Linked DNA regions of Xenopus tropicalis. The protein of the gene in region 3 purifies or fractionates together with the protein of the main gene of each other region. This does not show direct contact. Links are inferred from orthologs where the notes say so. Each region holds a gene or a part of one and is shown on either strand. Other genes may lie near its edges.

What was found. Proteins that work in one complex are often made in the same cells at the same time.
Region 1: the proteins of med26 (region 3) and polr2d purify together in Homo sapiens (affinity purification with mass spectrometry; 3 studies listed by BioGRID and IntAct, with this or other methods). This does not show direct contact. The link is inferred for Xenopus tropicalis from reciprocal best matches to the Homo sapiens genes MED26 and POLR2D.
Region 2: the proteins of med26 (region 3) and med9 purify together in Homo sapiens (affinity purification with mass spectrometry; 6 studies listed by BioGRID and IntAct, with this or other methods). This does not show direct contact. The link is inferred for Xenopus tropicalis from reciprocal best matches to the Homo sapiens genes MED26 and MED9.

What each region holds. Positions count from the first base shown.
Region 1 is NC_030681.2:125,371,661-125,376,499, reverse strand, and holds the start of polr2d (DNA-directed RNA polymerase II subunit RPB4), read left to right. Parts: upstream 1-1,872; 5' UTR 1,873-1,885; coding exon 1,886-1,958; intron 1,959-3,709; coding exon 3,710-3,890; intron 3,891-4,839. UniProt on the Homo sapiens protein: Core component of RNA polymerase II (Pol II), a DNA-dependent RNA polymerase which synthesizes mRNA precursors and many functional non-coding RNAs using the four ribonucleoside triphosphates as substrates.
Region 2 is NC_030685.2:15,709,485-15,714,495, forward strand, and holds the start of med9 (mediator of RNA polymerase II transcription subunit 9), read right to left. Parts: upstream 2,968-5,011; 5' UTR 2,886-2,967; coding exon 2,758-2,885; intron 1-2,757.
Region 3 is NC_030677.2:112,238,730-112,243,497, reverse strand, and holds the start of med26 (mediator of RNA polymerase II transcription subunit 26), read right to left. Parts: upstream 2,959-4,768; 5' UTR 2,814-2,958; coding exon 2,742-2,813; intron 1-2,741. UniProt on the Homo sapiens protein: Component of the Mediator complex, a coactivator involved in the regulated transcription of nearly all RNA polymerase II-dependent genes.

The DNA of each region.
Region 1 (4,839 bases), on a different chromosome or scaffold from region 3:
TGAGATGGAGAGGGTAACAATACCCCTTGCACAAACTGTCACTTTCCCTAAGGAATCGATTGTTTTCTGTTCCATGCTGCTAAGAATAAATTGAAATGATTGAATTGAGGATCAGTAATGGTTTATTAAATTGTGAGATGACCAAAGGTACCATGAATTGTGCACTGTTTCAGAAATATCTTCAGGAAAAAGTCCAGTCATTTGTCTATGAGCCAATCCTTTCTGGGTTCTGGCAGACAAAAAACAAAATTAGTTTTGTATAAGCCTAAGTTCTGACTTAAAATAAGCAGTTTATGCACAAAAACCAATGTGCATGGATGAAAGCAATGCTACAAGGAAGAGTGGGCTAGAAATCCTTATCAGCCATGTAAAAGATAAATCAAAGCATTTGGTTACAGTTATTGTATAAAAAAGTGCTGCAACCAGTTAAGTTTAAAGGAAAACATACCTTTAGAATGAATAGTTAACCAACAGATTATATCATATTAAATGGCCTATTAAAGAATCCTACCAAACTGCAATACATATGAGGAAATAATGGCCTTCTACATCTTTTTCTTTGAGCCACCATTTAGTGATGGGCTGGGTGCTCCCTCAGAGATCACCTGACCAGAAATAATGCAGCTCTAACTGTAACAGGAAGTAGTGTGGGAGTAAAAGATAGAACTCTGTCCATTCATTGGCTGATGTGACCTAACTCATAAATTGTATGATCCCATGGGGTAGCCTGTAGTACTTAAAGGAAATGTAACACTAAATGTTTTTAAGTAAAAACACTATTCTACCCTGCCCCAATAACTGCCCTATCCTGCAAACCACTTAGTATTTTAAATGCTTTAATAGAAAATACCTGCTAAAACTTGGCTTCCTCTCAATTGAACTACAGGGATAGGGCAAAAGGAGCTGCATCCACTATGCGACGATCGATTGATCGAGCCTAGCCTGACTCCTTCCATACAGAAAGAAGGCTAGGCTCGATCAATCGATCATCGCATAACATGCTACTACACATTTTGTATGAAAATGGTTGATCTAAATGAAGTACAGTTTTACAGCTGCATTGTGCCATATATATTTATAGAGACCTACATTGTTCAGGGGTATGGTTTTAATTTAAAGTACACAGAAGATTTTGATCAGATATTATCTGACCCAGCACAAGATCGTGTAGGATCATACCAAACCTGATCCCCACAGCTGTAACACAAATCAGATCAAATGGTGGGTTTTGTCCCTGCATCTACATCACACAATGTGTTTCAATGAGAGAAAAGTATTTCAGACGCCATCAGCTTTTATCTTGAATAAACGTATCTCTGAGCTGCAGCACAATCCAACACTGCCCATTTAGTACAATGTATTCCTGCATTAAAAGTCTGATAGCTGCTCCGCCAGCCCCTCCACTTGCCTAAATGCTAAGCTAGAGTTTCCCAAACTGTGACTAGTAAGGCCATGGAGTCTCTGCTGCCCATGTGTCGTGTGTAGCCACTGTGCGTCTGTATAATGCTCCCTGAATGCAGCCTTTCCTACAGGCCAGTTAAAGGCCACTACTATAACGCTAACGCACCTGTTCACAGGTAGAGAAATGCCTTTTAAAAGTATGGAACAGGGCCCTGGGCAGGTGCTGCTGGCTATTTAGCCTGCCAGCGAGAAGCTCTAACAGTGCGAAGATACCCATAAGCCTGCCAGGTATTTAAGAAACGTTACCATTTCCCACATCGGTTACGGGCTGAGGCCTCCCCCAGCCACACTGCTATTCAACATTCCCGCCGCAGTACGACCCTGTAGTTAAAGGCGCCCCGCGCAGTCACGTGGTGCTATGACGTAAACCAGCAGGGGCTTGTGGGTAATGGGAAGTAGTCACTAGAGACGCTGAGACCCGGTTATGGCTGCTGGCGGAGCGGAGGCGCACTCTGGGGACCCGGAGGAAGATGCTTCACAATTACTGTTTCCCAAAGGTACGTGATAGAGCTCAGGCCTATAGTGTAGCCCCCCCCTTACACCCCCGGATGTTCCTGCACACACTGGCGGGATGCACAGAGCTCCCAGCAGCAGCAGAACACAAACGCCTGCGGAAAGATAAAGCCCAAGTGCTACCGCCATCACACTGGGTCCTCTCTCTCCCCCCTCATTAGCCCATTGCCATTCAGTACCCTGAGTAACCCATAGGCTGCTATACGTTTATCATAGCAGCTGGGACAGAGGGCTTTTTATCCCATGTTTTACTGTACGTGCAAAGATGTTTGCGAGCACTTTGGCTACTGGGGCACCTTTGGGGGCACAGATCTTCCCTGCTAAAGGGCTGTGGTTGCCTTGGGCTGGTACAGAAGCACAAAACATTTCTAGCCTACTTCTTATAAGCTTTTCTTCTTTTTTTTAAAGGTGAATTAAACCCTTTAATTGTTTAACTTGTATGACCCCTGCCACCACCCCAACTGCCAAAAGCCACCTGTTCCCTGCCCCCCCATATGAGTATGGGGGGGGGGGGCATATGAATTTCAAATATCCTTACTGCTAGCACGGGTGGGTCCAGGTGCACATGTCCCAGACCTTCAGCAGAGGGAGTTTACAAGGAACACATTTGCAGGTTGGGACCCAACCAGAAATCTTTACAATCTTATACAAAACAAATTCAAATGCCTTATGCGTTTTGTGTTGCCAAGACACACAATCATAGGCTCAATTGATTAAGTGCCTCTTGGCAACACAAAATGCGTAAGGCATTTGTATTTTGTATTCATAATGTAAAATGTAATTCTACAGACTGTAATAACTTATGGCTTCTGGTTTCAACTAAGTGGTCTTGATTGGTGCCTGCAACTGATCACTAGTGAGGAACATGGCACCCGATGCCAGGAAAAGGTTGGCACTCAGTATGCCTGTCACCTTTGTGCCTGGAACCGGAAGTGACTCGGCCACCGACTCTGCTTTCTTAAAGGAACAGTAACACCAAAAAATAAAAGTGTATAAAAGTAACTAAAATATAATGTGCTGCTGCCCTGCACTGGTAAAAGTTGTGTGTTTACTTCAGAAAGTCTACTATAATTTATATAAATAAGCTGCTATGTAGCCATGGGGGCAGCCATTCAAAGGAGAAAAGGCACAGGCACATAGCAGATAAAACACTATTGTATTCTACAGAATTTATCTGTTATCTGCTATGTAACCTGTGCCTTTTCTCCTTTTTTCCAGCTTGAATGGCTGCCCCCATGGCTACACAGCAGCTTATTATATAAATTATAGTAGTGTTTCTGTAGCAAACACACCAGTTTTACCAGTGCAGGGCAACAGTGCATTATATTTTTATTACTTTAAAGCTCTTTCATTTTTTGGTGTTACTGTTCCTTTAACTCTTCATGCTGTCCCTGTCTTCTGCAGGAATGGGTGTAGGTGTCAGATGGGGCTAATAGGGCAGGTTTGGGTAGATATTACAGTTGTCAAATGTGGGTGCCACTCAACACCAGGAATGGGATGTAGGTGATAAATATTTATTGTTGCTCTGTTTTATTGTGCAGTATTATTTGTGAGTGGGGAAGGGGCGGCAAGGTTTGAAAGAGAAAGTTTTGTATAGAAAAAACAAATAGCTGCTTAAATGTATGCATTGATTGCCTATGGCAGGGAAATCTCTTAAAATATTGGCTGTAATATATTCCGTCCCTATACCAGTTCAGGCCTTTACATGTCGGTTTTGCTTCTTTACATTGTGTAGAGTTTGAGAGTGCTGAGACTCTGCTGAATTCGGAGGTGCACATGCTCCTGGAGCACAGAAAGCAACAGAATGAGAGCGCGGAGGAAGAACAGGAGCTCTCCGAGGTCTTCATGAAAACCCTGAACTACACTGCCAGGTTCAGCCGCTTCAAGAACAGAGAAACCATTGCCAGTGTCAGAAGGTACCTGTCCTATTCCCCACTACATGCAATGTGTGCCTTGAGCTAGCTGCATGGCGAGGGCGCTGTAGTGCTGGCTCTCCTTGTGGCGCCCAGCAATAGGACCATCAGGATAAGATTTTGGGGAGAATTATTATGTTACTGTTTCCCTGCTTGTGGATCTGTAGCAGTGTGACTGGTAGGACCATGTTTTAAAGGAGAATGCAAGTCAAAATGTAAAAAGCATACTGCCCAATAGTCCTCCTATTGTTTAGTAAAAACGCCACACTTTTGGCTCACCTAATCAAATATTTACTCAGTCACACTTACTTCACATTTTCTAGAACAGGCAGCCATCTCTAAAAAGGTATTCTCCCTTCCTTTCCCTCCTTGCTTCATACTGCACATGTGTTTCATTCCCTCCCCCCCTCCCCTCTGCCAGATCCGCTTCTGATTGGCTGGTGGGCATGTGTAGCTCAGAACAGGAGACAGGATCAAGTTACACACATACTCGGAGAATAGGAAGGCTGCCGCTGGCACCTACAGGAAGGGGAGAGAGATTTCAGTGATGTCACTGTAGGCTTCACACCGCTGTAGGCTGCCAGCACCATATCTCAGAGAAGCAAGCAGGGATCTGGGAATTTAGATATGCAGTAAGTACTTAAAAAAATGCCTTTAGACTTCCTTTTAATTTATATTAACCTTTCATTGTCCTTTAAAGGATTATTAAAGGTATTTATAGAGGTTAATACCCCTGGAGAGCCACCCCTCACCTGATATTGTTGCCCCACTTTCCTTACCCCTTCACACTGGCTGGGGGTGCCATCTCATGCTGCTTCTCTTCCAAGTGATTGCTGCCCGGGAATATGCACAGTGAAAGGCTAGCTCCTTTGGCTTCATCTGCACATGTTCCTGGTGCAAGTTTGCTGCAAAGTTGAAGCAGTGCAAGATGGTGCCCACTAACCCCACTGCT
Region 2 (5,011 bases), on a different chromosome or scaffold from region 3:
GGCGACTCCTTCCCATTTCATTTCTCACTGCTTTCCTATGGCCAGGGTTGTATAAAGGGTCAATGAATTCAGGAGTAATCTCACATTCCTAAAGTGACCCACCAGCTAGAGATTTATTTAGATCTACTGGGAAAGACCCAGACCTGCAACCTGATCCAACCCCAACCTCCTATCATAATCATTGCCCAGACACGCCTTATACTGACACCCATGTCCCCCAAGCAGCACCCATAACCTTATGTACAAGCCCTACTTGCTACCAGTAAACTAACCAGCAGTTTCCCAGGCTCGCAGGATTCTACCTCCAGCCTATCAGAACTTTGCTCAGCCTTCAAGCCCAACGTCAATTCTAAAGGTGGCCATACACAGCCAGATCCTCTCATTCGGTGGGGTCACCAAACGAGCAGATCTGGGCCCACCACACTGGGTGGCAGCTTTTATCGGCCATAAATATATGTCGCTGACCAACACAAGTCAGTAATAGGGGGAAAGAATTGGGTCCAACTTTTGGCACATAAAATTAGCCAAAGGTTAGGATTTAAAGGCACAGTAACATCCCTGTCCTGCGATTATCAAGTCACATTAACAAATGAAACTTGGCAGGGCTTACTGGATTCCTATGTAGTCAGCTGCTTAGTAGTCATATCATGTCTGAGGGTTGGATAAATATTGAAATGAGGAGATCATACGGACGAGTATAAGCAGCCACTAAGCCCTAAAACGTGAAAAGCCACATTTATCCCAGAGGCTCCAGTTGGTCAGCCCTGCTTTCATTAAAGGGGCTCCTATAGTAAACACAAATTATCTATATATGCATAATGTACTATAAAGCGTTACTAGGGAAGATTCGGGCAACTAAATGGCCTGTGGGTCAGGTGGGGCCCTCCAATAAGTACTTAAAGCCCCCAGCCTAGGCAAAGGCTCCACTGCCTTCTTTGTATCATGCCATAATATCAATATAATCCATACCCTGTGTGTGATTGTTGTCCCACATAGCAGGAAAGTTATGCAGTACAAGTTGCACAGCACTGCTCCCAAACAAACATTAAGAATGCAGGAATTGTAGTTCATATCTGCTGGACAGACTAGAGCCTGACACCCCCGCCTTAATGGAACTGGTACAATCCTCTCTGCCTTTAGATTTCCCATTATGAGAGCTGTAGTCTCCTGCCGACGGCTGCACTGCTGCACAGACTACACGCTGCCATTTCTGAATGAAGGACACCTACTGGCTCTGATCCAGCTGTATCCCCCATAATGCAAATTCAGCAGTTTCTGTCATATACAGTTCATCCTTTAGCAATATTACATTGATTATTTGAGGCTGTGGGTTGGGAGAAATTTGCCATTTGCAGGCTTGGGCTTAGCACGTGATGCACGGCCCACACATACCCTGCGGCTTTACCCGTTTTACCCAGTGTGACATCACTTCCTGGCCCAGCTCCTTCCACCCTTATCATTATGACGACCCAGCTCAGCTACATCTGACTCTTCCTGGCCACTTTCTTTTATAAACTTGCCTCTAACCCACCCCCCTCTGGCAACATCAAAAGTGGGCAGGTAGGGCATGGGTTTATAAGACATGTTAACACAATGGGTCAGCCTGGGCTTGCGTGGGTTCAGGGCAGAAGCAGGTCAAAAACTCTTGTTTTCTCAGCAAATGCATATATGCTTGGTAGAAGAAACAGGAGGTAAGTGCACATTAGTACTTCCTGTGTCCTTGGCAGTGGACCCAAAACGGCCACCGCTAATGAGATGGAAAGTGCGATTCTGTAAAGGAAAAATCACATAAAGTGTTTCCATTGGGGCAAGAGTGGTCTACTCTTCACAGCAGCAACTTAAAGGAGAAGGAAAGGCTAATAGAGAGTTAATCTCAAGCTGCAGGCATACCCTCAGTTCTCTCAATAGTGCCCTTAAGTCTCCCCATATTTCTCCTGTTCAGATGATCAGAAGCCTCATAGGACAAAAAAAAAGGCTGAGTTCTTTAAAGAAAATTCCCATAAAGCCTCGCTCCTGCACCAAGACCAAGACTGGTGTACATGCTCAGTTAGTTAGACTATGAGTCAGCTTCCTGCTGATTGGCTCAGATCAAACATTCCTAAGGGGGGGGGGGGAGTTCTTAGCATTCTTGAGGGGGGGGACAGGAGAGAGGAGAAAGCTGCACAGACTCTGGCACAGGAAAACAAAGACAACAAACCCTGTTTCTTTTGATAGAGGACTCAGTGCAGCGTTTGTGTGAGTGCTTATGGCTGTATTTACATAGACCTTTCTGATAAAGCTTAACAGGAGCACCAGCCCGGGGTATCAGGTAAGTGATCTTAGTCACTTGGGCGGGGCGCTAACATTTTACCCCCCAATAATTCCCCCTTTCCTTCTTCTTTAACCCACCAACAGGTATTCCAAACCACAATCAAGTGTAAATAAGCCCTGCAGATATAAAGGGGTGTATTTATTAACATTGGAAGCCAACCTAACCAATCATGGGCACCATCCCCAGTGATGTTTGTCTCCAATGTTACCTGTATGGGGCCAAAGGGACACAGAATGCTACTGGCTGCAAAGGGAATGCAATAAAAGTACCTGCAAGTGGTGTCCAACTAAATGACAGTAAATACAAATACATTTATGCTACATACTAAAGCAAAATGACATTCCAGGCAACTTCCCATGATACACAAACACTGCTGGTTCCGACTGCTGAAACAGCTCAGTAGCGGGGCAGTGTTTCAGTTACAATGACCCCCAAACTAACTGTACCATTTAATGATGTCGTGCACCAGCGGTAGGAAGGTATACTCCTCTTCCTCCTCCTCTTCGGCAGCTTCATCCTCCTCTTCTTCCTCCTCCGGCTCCTCAGCCGGTCTCACATTGCCGCCGGTAGCCATGTTACTATCGCTGGCTTCACCGGCAGCACAAATACTGCGTCACAAGCTGTGCGTCGCGGCCTGTAGCTGAATACGGCGGTTTCGTAATGATGTCACTGGCGCGACCGCGGCTTGCGCGACGTCATAGATAAGGGCCCGTTCGGCTGCGCTAAGTTATTGACAAAAGGTTTCATTGTATATGGTGTTTGGTGATGGAAGTGATTCATTGAGGCGCCCTATTGCATGGGGCACTATAACAAGCAGCCCTTGTCACTTCAAAAACACCGTTGCATTATGGGATACGTTGTGACTAGTCCATATAGATTGTAAGCTCTACGGGGCAGGGACCTCCATCCTCTTGTGTCTTTGACTCTTAAATTATTGCAACTGTATCTTGTATTTATTTGTATTTATTGTTATACTTTGTATTTATCTATTATTATCTTAATAACCCCCTGTTATTAATCTATTCTTCTGTACTAGTGTGGTTACTGCTTCTAGCCCCTTTGGCGATTATAGACATTAGCATTAGAAACATATGTCGCTGGTGATGTTGCCCATAGCAACCAATCAGCATTAGATTTGAAGAGTCATAAAAGTTAGAAAACAAGAGTAAAACTCTTGATTTTTATGGGCAACATCAGTGGTGATTTTTGTTTCCAGCGTTAATAAATACTCCCCTCCATTTATTGACCAATAACCCTACTGTATCCATGGCCAGAGCTGTCGTTATAAGGTGGCGGATAAGGGACAGCTGCCCTGGGCTCTGTGCTCTATATACTTTTGTTCCCAAAAAATAGACAGCTAACAGCACTTCTGGTGTGGAAACTGTATGCACCAATTGCCATATTGTGGGGGTGTTCAGGGTGGCATAGCCCTAAAATTGAGCCCTGGCCATACAGCAGAGCCAGGGGCAGGTCTGGACTGGGATACAAAATAGGCCCTGGCATTTCCAGTACACAGAGGCCCAAACAGCCCCCCCACCAGCCCAATAAATAGCGACTGTCCATGGCATCCTACAGCAGCCCCTGAGGCATTTACTAGAACCCACTGATTGCCAGTCTGGGCCGTAGCTGGGGCTACAGATGGGTGAGTAGCTGGGGCTACAGATGGGTGAGTAGCTGGGGCTACAGATCGGTGAGTAGCTGGGGCTACAGAAGGGGGAGTAGCTGGGGCTACAGATGGGGGAGTAGCTGGGGCTACAGATGGGGGAGTAGCTGGGGCTACAGATGGATGAGTAGCTGGGGCTACAGATGGGTGAGTAGCTGGGGCTACAGATGGGTGAGTAGCTGGGGCTACAGATGAGGGAGTAGCTGGGGCTACAGATGGGGGAGTAGCTGGGGCTACAGATGGGGGAGTAGCTGGGGCTACAGATGGGGGAGTAGCTGGGGCTACAGATGGGTGAGTAGCTGGGGCTACAGATGGGTGAGTAGCTGGGGCTACAGATGGGTGAGTAGCTGGGGCTACAGATGGGGGAGTAGCTGGGGCTACAGATGGGGGAGTAGCTGGGGCTACAGATGGGGGAGTAGCTGGGGCTACAGGGAACGATTGTGGGCATCCCCTAAGGATGCGTTTGTTCTGTTAGGTTACACGTGTCCAGGTCTTCGAACGTCATTTTAGTGCTTTTGCATTTTCTAACGTTAGTGGCCCTTTAAAAAGGGGAACTTATACTTCAGCTACCTTCATTTAAAATGGCTCCCGACACGCTTTGCTCCCATTGCTCTCAAAGTACACGAGTTGGTGTGTAAGTGAACTAGTTGTGCATTGGCACGCAGCCAGCCTGTGTTCATTATCTCTCCCAGCGTGTTGCCAACATACCCCAAACACCAAGGGGATACAGGACCTGCGTTGGAACATGAAATACGCAGATAGAGGAATTTGTTTACGGATGGCTAGGACTTCTGTGATGCAATATGCCGGCCTAAAGGAAAACATGTTTCCGTGAATGAGCAATTAACCCTGCTCATTTCTGCTTCACTCACTGAAAACAGTACCAATACGGAGGTACTGGGAGCATTTTGTGCGATCCTTTATATAAATATATATATATATATATATAATACCCAAAAGCCATGGATATCCTTTAAATTATATCCTTATAAACGGTGCTTAGTGATGTCATCAGTTATAATCAGTGTTTAGTGATG
Region 3 (4,768 bases):
TGCTTTGTGAAGTTACAGTTTTATTGCTGTTACTTTTTGTAAATTTTCTATTCAGGCCCTCTGCTGTTCATATACCAGTCTCATCCAAACCACTCCCTGGATGCTAAGGTAAATTGGACCTTAGCAACCAAATAGCTGCTGCAACTCCAACCTGGAGAGCTCCTAAACTAAAAATGTAATAACTAAAGAACTACAAATAAAAAAAAAAAATTAAGACCAATTGCAAATTGTCTCAGAATATCACTCTACATCATATTAAAAGTTAACTTAACTGTGAAAAACCCCTTTAAGAAACAGCATAAAAGCATAACCCATACCATAGGTATGAACAGGTCACCTAGGTGCCTCATAAGCTATAAGGAAAAAAAAAAGTAAGCCATAAGCAATGCCTCTATACAGAAAAAAATCCAAACACAAAACAGCATGCTTGTTCTCAAAAAGCATGAACAAGTAACATCTCATCTTTCAGTTATTCTATGGGTTTAAAATAAAAAAAAAAAACAAAAAAAACTCTTAACTGTGACAGTTTATAATAATTTTATGGTGTAGTGTACAGTGTCTTTCGGATTAACAGATTCTTCATTTAGAACCCGTTATTCTAAAACATGTTGTGCACTACACAATAACATCATATGAGATTCATAAGGAGTTCTCCAGTGAAAATGCAAAAACATTAAAAGGGTCAAAGTAGCAACCAGGGTTAAAAATTGCTGAACAATTCTGCAGGCTAACAAACTGATTACAATAGGGCTACTACTATACCTAAAGCCAAAGGTGTAGCGATTTACTGATTTTTTTCCCGAACACTCCCAAAAGTGGTTACTGAAAGAAAGGAACAACACTTACAAGTACCTTCCTCTAATGCATCTATCAAAGAGCCCTAGCTCTGTACTGCTCAGCACCTTTAGTTGTTATTTTTCACACCTGTGTAATACAGCGCAATAAATATTTAACTATTTGTGAGATATTAAAAAATTACAAATCAATTCTAATATAAAGCATACCCAACCTAAACAATATATGCTTTTCTGGAAACCAGGATCCTTTATCACAGTTGCCTAAATCTATTTTTACATGTGCTTTTGTTTACCTACAGCTTAAAAATTCCCATGCAGACACAGGCCTTTCAAAAGTACAGCTACCAAATACAGACTTTCAGAAGGTATGTGTCAGCATTAAAGACACAAATTAATTCAGTATGTACATACCCATGTGTCCCTCACCCCAAAATAACTTTGAGATGCTTCTGGCATTAAAAGGTCCAAATCCTTTCTAAATGTACAAGCTGTATATCTCCAGTGATACAGGAAATACACATGTATTTAAAGCTATAACTGAAAGTAGGTTTTCAGCAATAGATTATTATCAATTTAATAGTAGTGTTCACTCTTTATAGTAAAGGCTTCAGTAAAAAAAACCCTCAAACTTCAGAAGTTGTTTACAAAGAGATTATGCTTTATAGATACATGTTAATAATGGTTACAAATCTTATCCTGCAATGTACTTCAAACTTTTGCTACATAAGTGCTTTGCAGAATTAAACTCTATAGGTGCCGACGCATCCTGCCAATGCTAAAATAAGTATCAAGAGAAGATAGAAAGTGCAGTAGATTATATACTGTAAACAACAGTGAAAGCTTTTACAAATTTGAGACATACCAATAAATTGTATTGCTGACTGCAAATTACTTGGCCTTCTAATTTGTGGGAGTTGTTACACCTCAAATATAACAGCACATACAACAACAGGTCTGTATATAATGCAGTTATAAATGCCATACACTTCAGTCAAAGATAAATCGGTCACATAAGGACCCATGACAAATCTCTAAATGAAATACAATAAATAGCATTCTGAACTTTCCCTGTTCTGTTTCTTTGAGAACAGATCTCTCAGTTTAACAAGCACACCGCCTGCCCACACCAGAGTAATGCCAACAACATGAGATAAATGCACCCTGTCCCCACAAGCACACATCTGCACTGCCAGGAACATAAGAATATGCCAAAGGAGTGTGTTTTGGCAGTCCCACCGACTCGGGCATCGCAAGCCTAGCCAGCAGTCTGACATGTGCCGGTGCCTACAAGGGCAGTCTGCTAACTTAAGGCCGCGACTAGGCCCTATCCCCGACCTCGCCTACAAAGTAAGGACGGATGTGCTCGAATATACAGAGTCGGATTAAGAACGCGAGATGGCCTAAAACAAGCGCCAGGGGTCCCTGCTACAAAGGACTGCAACCCCAGATAAACGCCGGGACCCATAATCCTCCATTCCCCAGTTGCCCACTTCCTGCTCAGCTCTCAGGCTTTATACTCGTCTCTCACCTACCCACAGAGAAGGGGCTCTCAACTAGCTGTTCCTATCGAGCTCTGCCTTACCTATAGCACTCCACTGTGGGCTTCTCAGCTCCCGGCATGGTCAGTGCCACTGCCTCCACCACCCTAAGGCTCTTGCACGTTCTGGCTCCAGGGGACTCGGTCTTTCCCAGCCTCATGTGACCCTCAACTAATAACCTGGAGCCAAAAAGTGCATTCCAGAGTAACGACACCTCTCTTTTCCCCAGCCCTTAGCCACCAACCACCCATAATCAAGGGATAGTGTCACAGCAGCCTCCAGTCACTCTCCGTCAGCCCTTTCCCGGTCGTCCCTAGTCTAGCTTCTCACTGCTGGTTCAGAGGGTTTCATCAAGTGCCGAAACCCCGTGTTGCGCTCTTTCCACTCCCTGTCCCCCCTGACTCACGTTGCTTTGCGTATCGATGGCCTGCAGCAGCCTCTCCCTGATCTCCCGCGGGGTTACCGGAGCGGCTGTCATGGCCTCAGTCCGGGGATCACTGCGGAGGGCGGCGCGGCATGTTCCCTGGGAGGAAGGAACACGAGTTCCCGGGCGCAGGGAGAGCAGCGAAGAAGCGAGAAAGCCGGAGACTCCCAGACGCGTCTCTCCCGATGGAGTCGAGCGACCGGGAGTCCCGAGGCACGCCGGGAAGTCCGCCGCTGCACGCTTTGTGACGTGACGGTAGCGGCGTCCTGGCGTCACAGTCCCCCTAGGTAGCACGTACGTCACGCACGAACGTCTCTCATCTTCCCCCTCAGTAGGAAGTGTCAGACACGACTTAAAGCTGTCATTCGTCTTCGGTATCCATGGAGAGAGGGGGCAGCCCGTGCGCCTGCTAGCCTTTAGGCACCTGAGTTGTTACTAGGCAAGATGCATCACTTAAAATAAACACTGTTGTCTACCCTGCAACTTTTGTGCAGTAGACTATAAGCCTAGCTGGAAGGAGGGGCTTATTTAACTACATCACCTCAGTCAGCGACACTGAAACAGAGCGACCCGTGGGTCGTTATGAACTACTATGGAACTCTTTGTGGAATTCTGGGAGTTGTAGTTCATAAGTCATACGAGTAAGTTTGCAGGAAAAAGAATCGAACGTTTGTTTAGAAAAGTTAGCTAGAAGTGCTACACATATTGCCATATATTCAAGTGAAATCAGGTTACACTTATTTCAGCCCTGCAACCTGCATATGTTAGAATTGTCTGGGTTTTGTTTTATTTAGTTTGTCTTGTAACCTTATCTCAGAGACAAAGGTTAGATTCAGAAAATATGGAGAGGCAGACGTTCTACGTAGCCCTCTAAAACATATTCATTACCAGTTTTTTCATTCTCTACTGAGTTCCAAACTGTCTCTGGAACCTATATCAGTACAAGAAATATTAGTAGCTGCACACAAGCTAAATATCACCATGTAGAGTGCCATGCATTGCCAGTTGTTGTGTAAAGCTGTATAACACTGGACAGCAGGGAGCTGGAAATGGGTTCTCTGAAATGATGAATCATCTTCACATATGGCAGTCAAGCAGTCATTTCTGGGGTGGTGGGTTCCAGACAACTTAGTTTGGTGTAGGACTAGTGATCAGGGGATAATTATTGTTTTGGGTTAGTATTCTTGGTTTCAACAAGGAGACATTAGCGCTATAGTGTACAATGGTATTCGTGGATATCGTTGATGCACAGGTGGTCAAAATAAAATTGGTAAGCTTCCCATCTGCATAAAACTTGGTTTTTGTGTTTGGGTCTTAAAAACTTATTGATGTATGAATATTGAAAAAATGCAATATATTAAGGTAGAACTCACCAACAGTTTCTTGAGGTCCGGGTGCTCAAGCCCCAGACCTTCAGCTCAGGGGAAGTGATAGACACACTTGGATTTCAAATAAGGCTGGCATAAGACTGGACTGTTGAAGCAGATGGTGATGCAGTTAAAATGATGAATTTATGTAGTAACAAGACCTCTCAAAAGGACACGTCTTACACGTTTGGTGCCTTATGGGGCACTTAATCATAGGCTAATGATTAAGTGCCCCATAAGGTACAAAATGCATACGGCTTGTCCTTTTGAGAGGTCTTGTTACTAAATAAATTCATCATTTTTAACTGCATCACCATCTGCTTCAAAAATCCGGTTTTGTGCCAGTCTATTTAGGATTCCAAGTGTCTCTTAAGTACTGTCACTGTCTGCTGAATTGAGAAGTGCCAACCATGTAGGAAGATCTGCACCACCAGTGTAGGAGTTTAGAAAGAAGTGTAAAAGGTATGGCAATAACTTGCGTTGAAATACTGTGTTTGGTGGATGCCAGATGAAGTGCCTGTTTATATAATGTTAAGTCAGTTTGGTGGTGGAGGAGGATGAATTTGGGGTCCTTGGTTCCAACAAGCAGACCTAAATGTTACAGTGTACAATGGCATTCCTGACAATTCTGTGCTCACTACT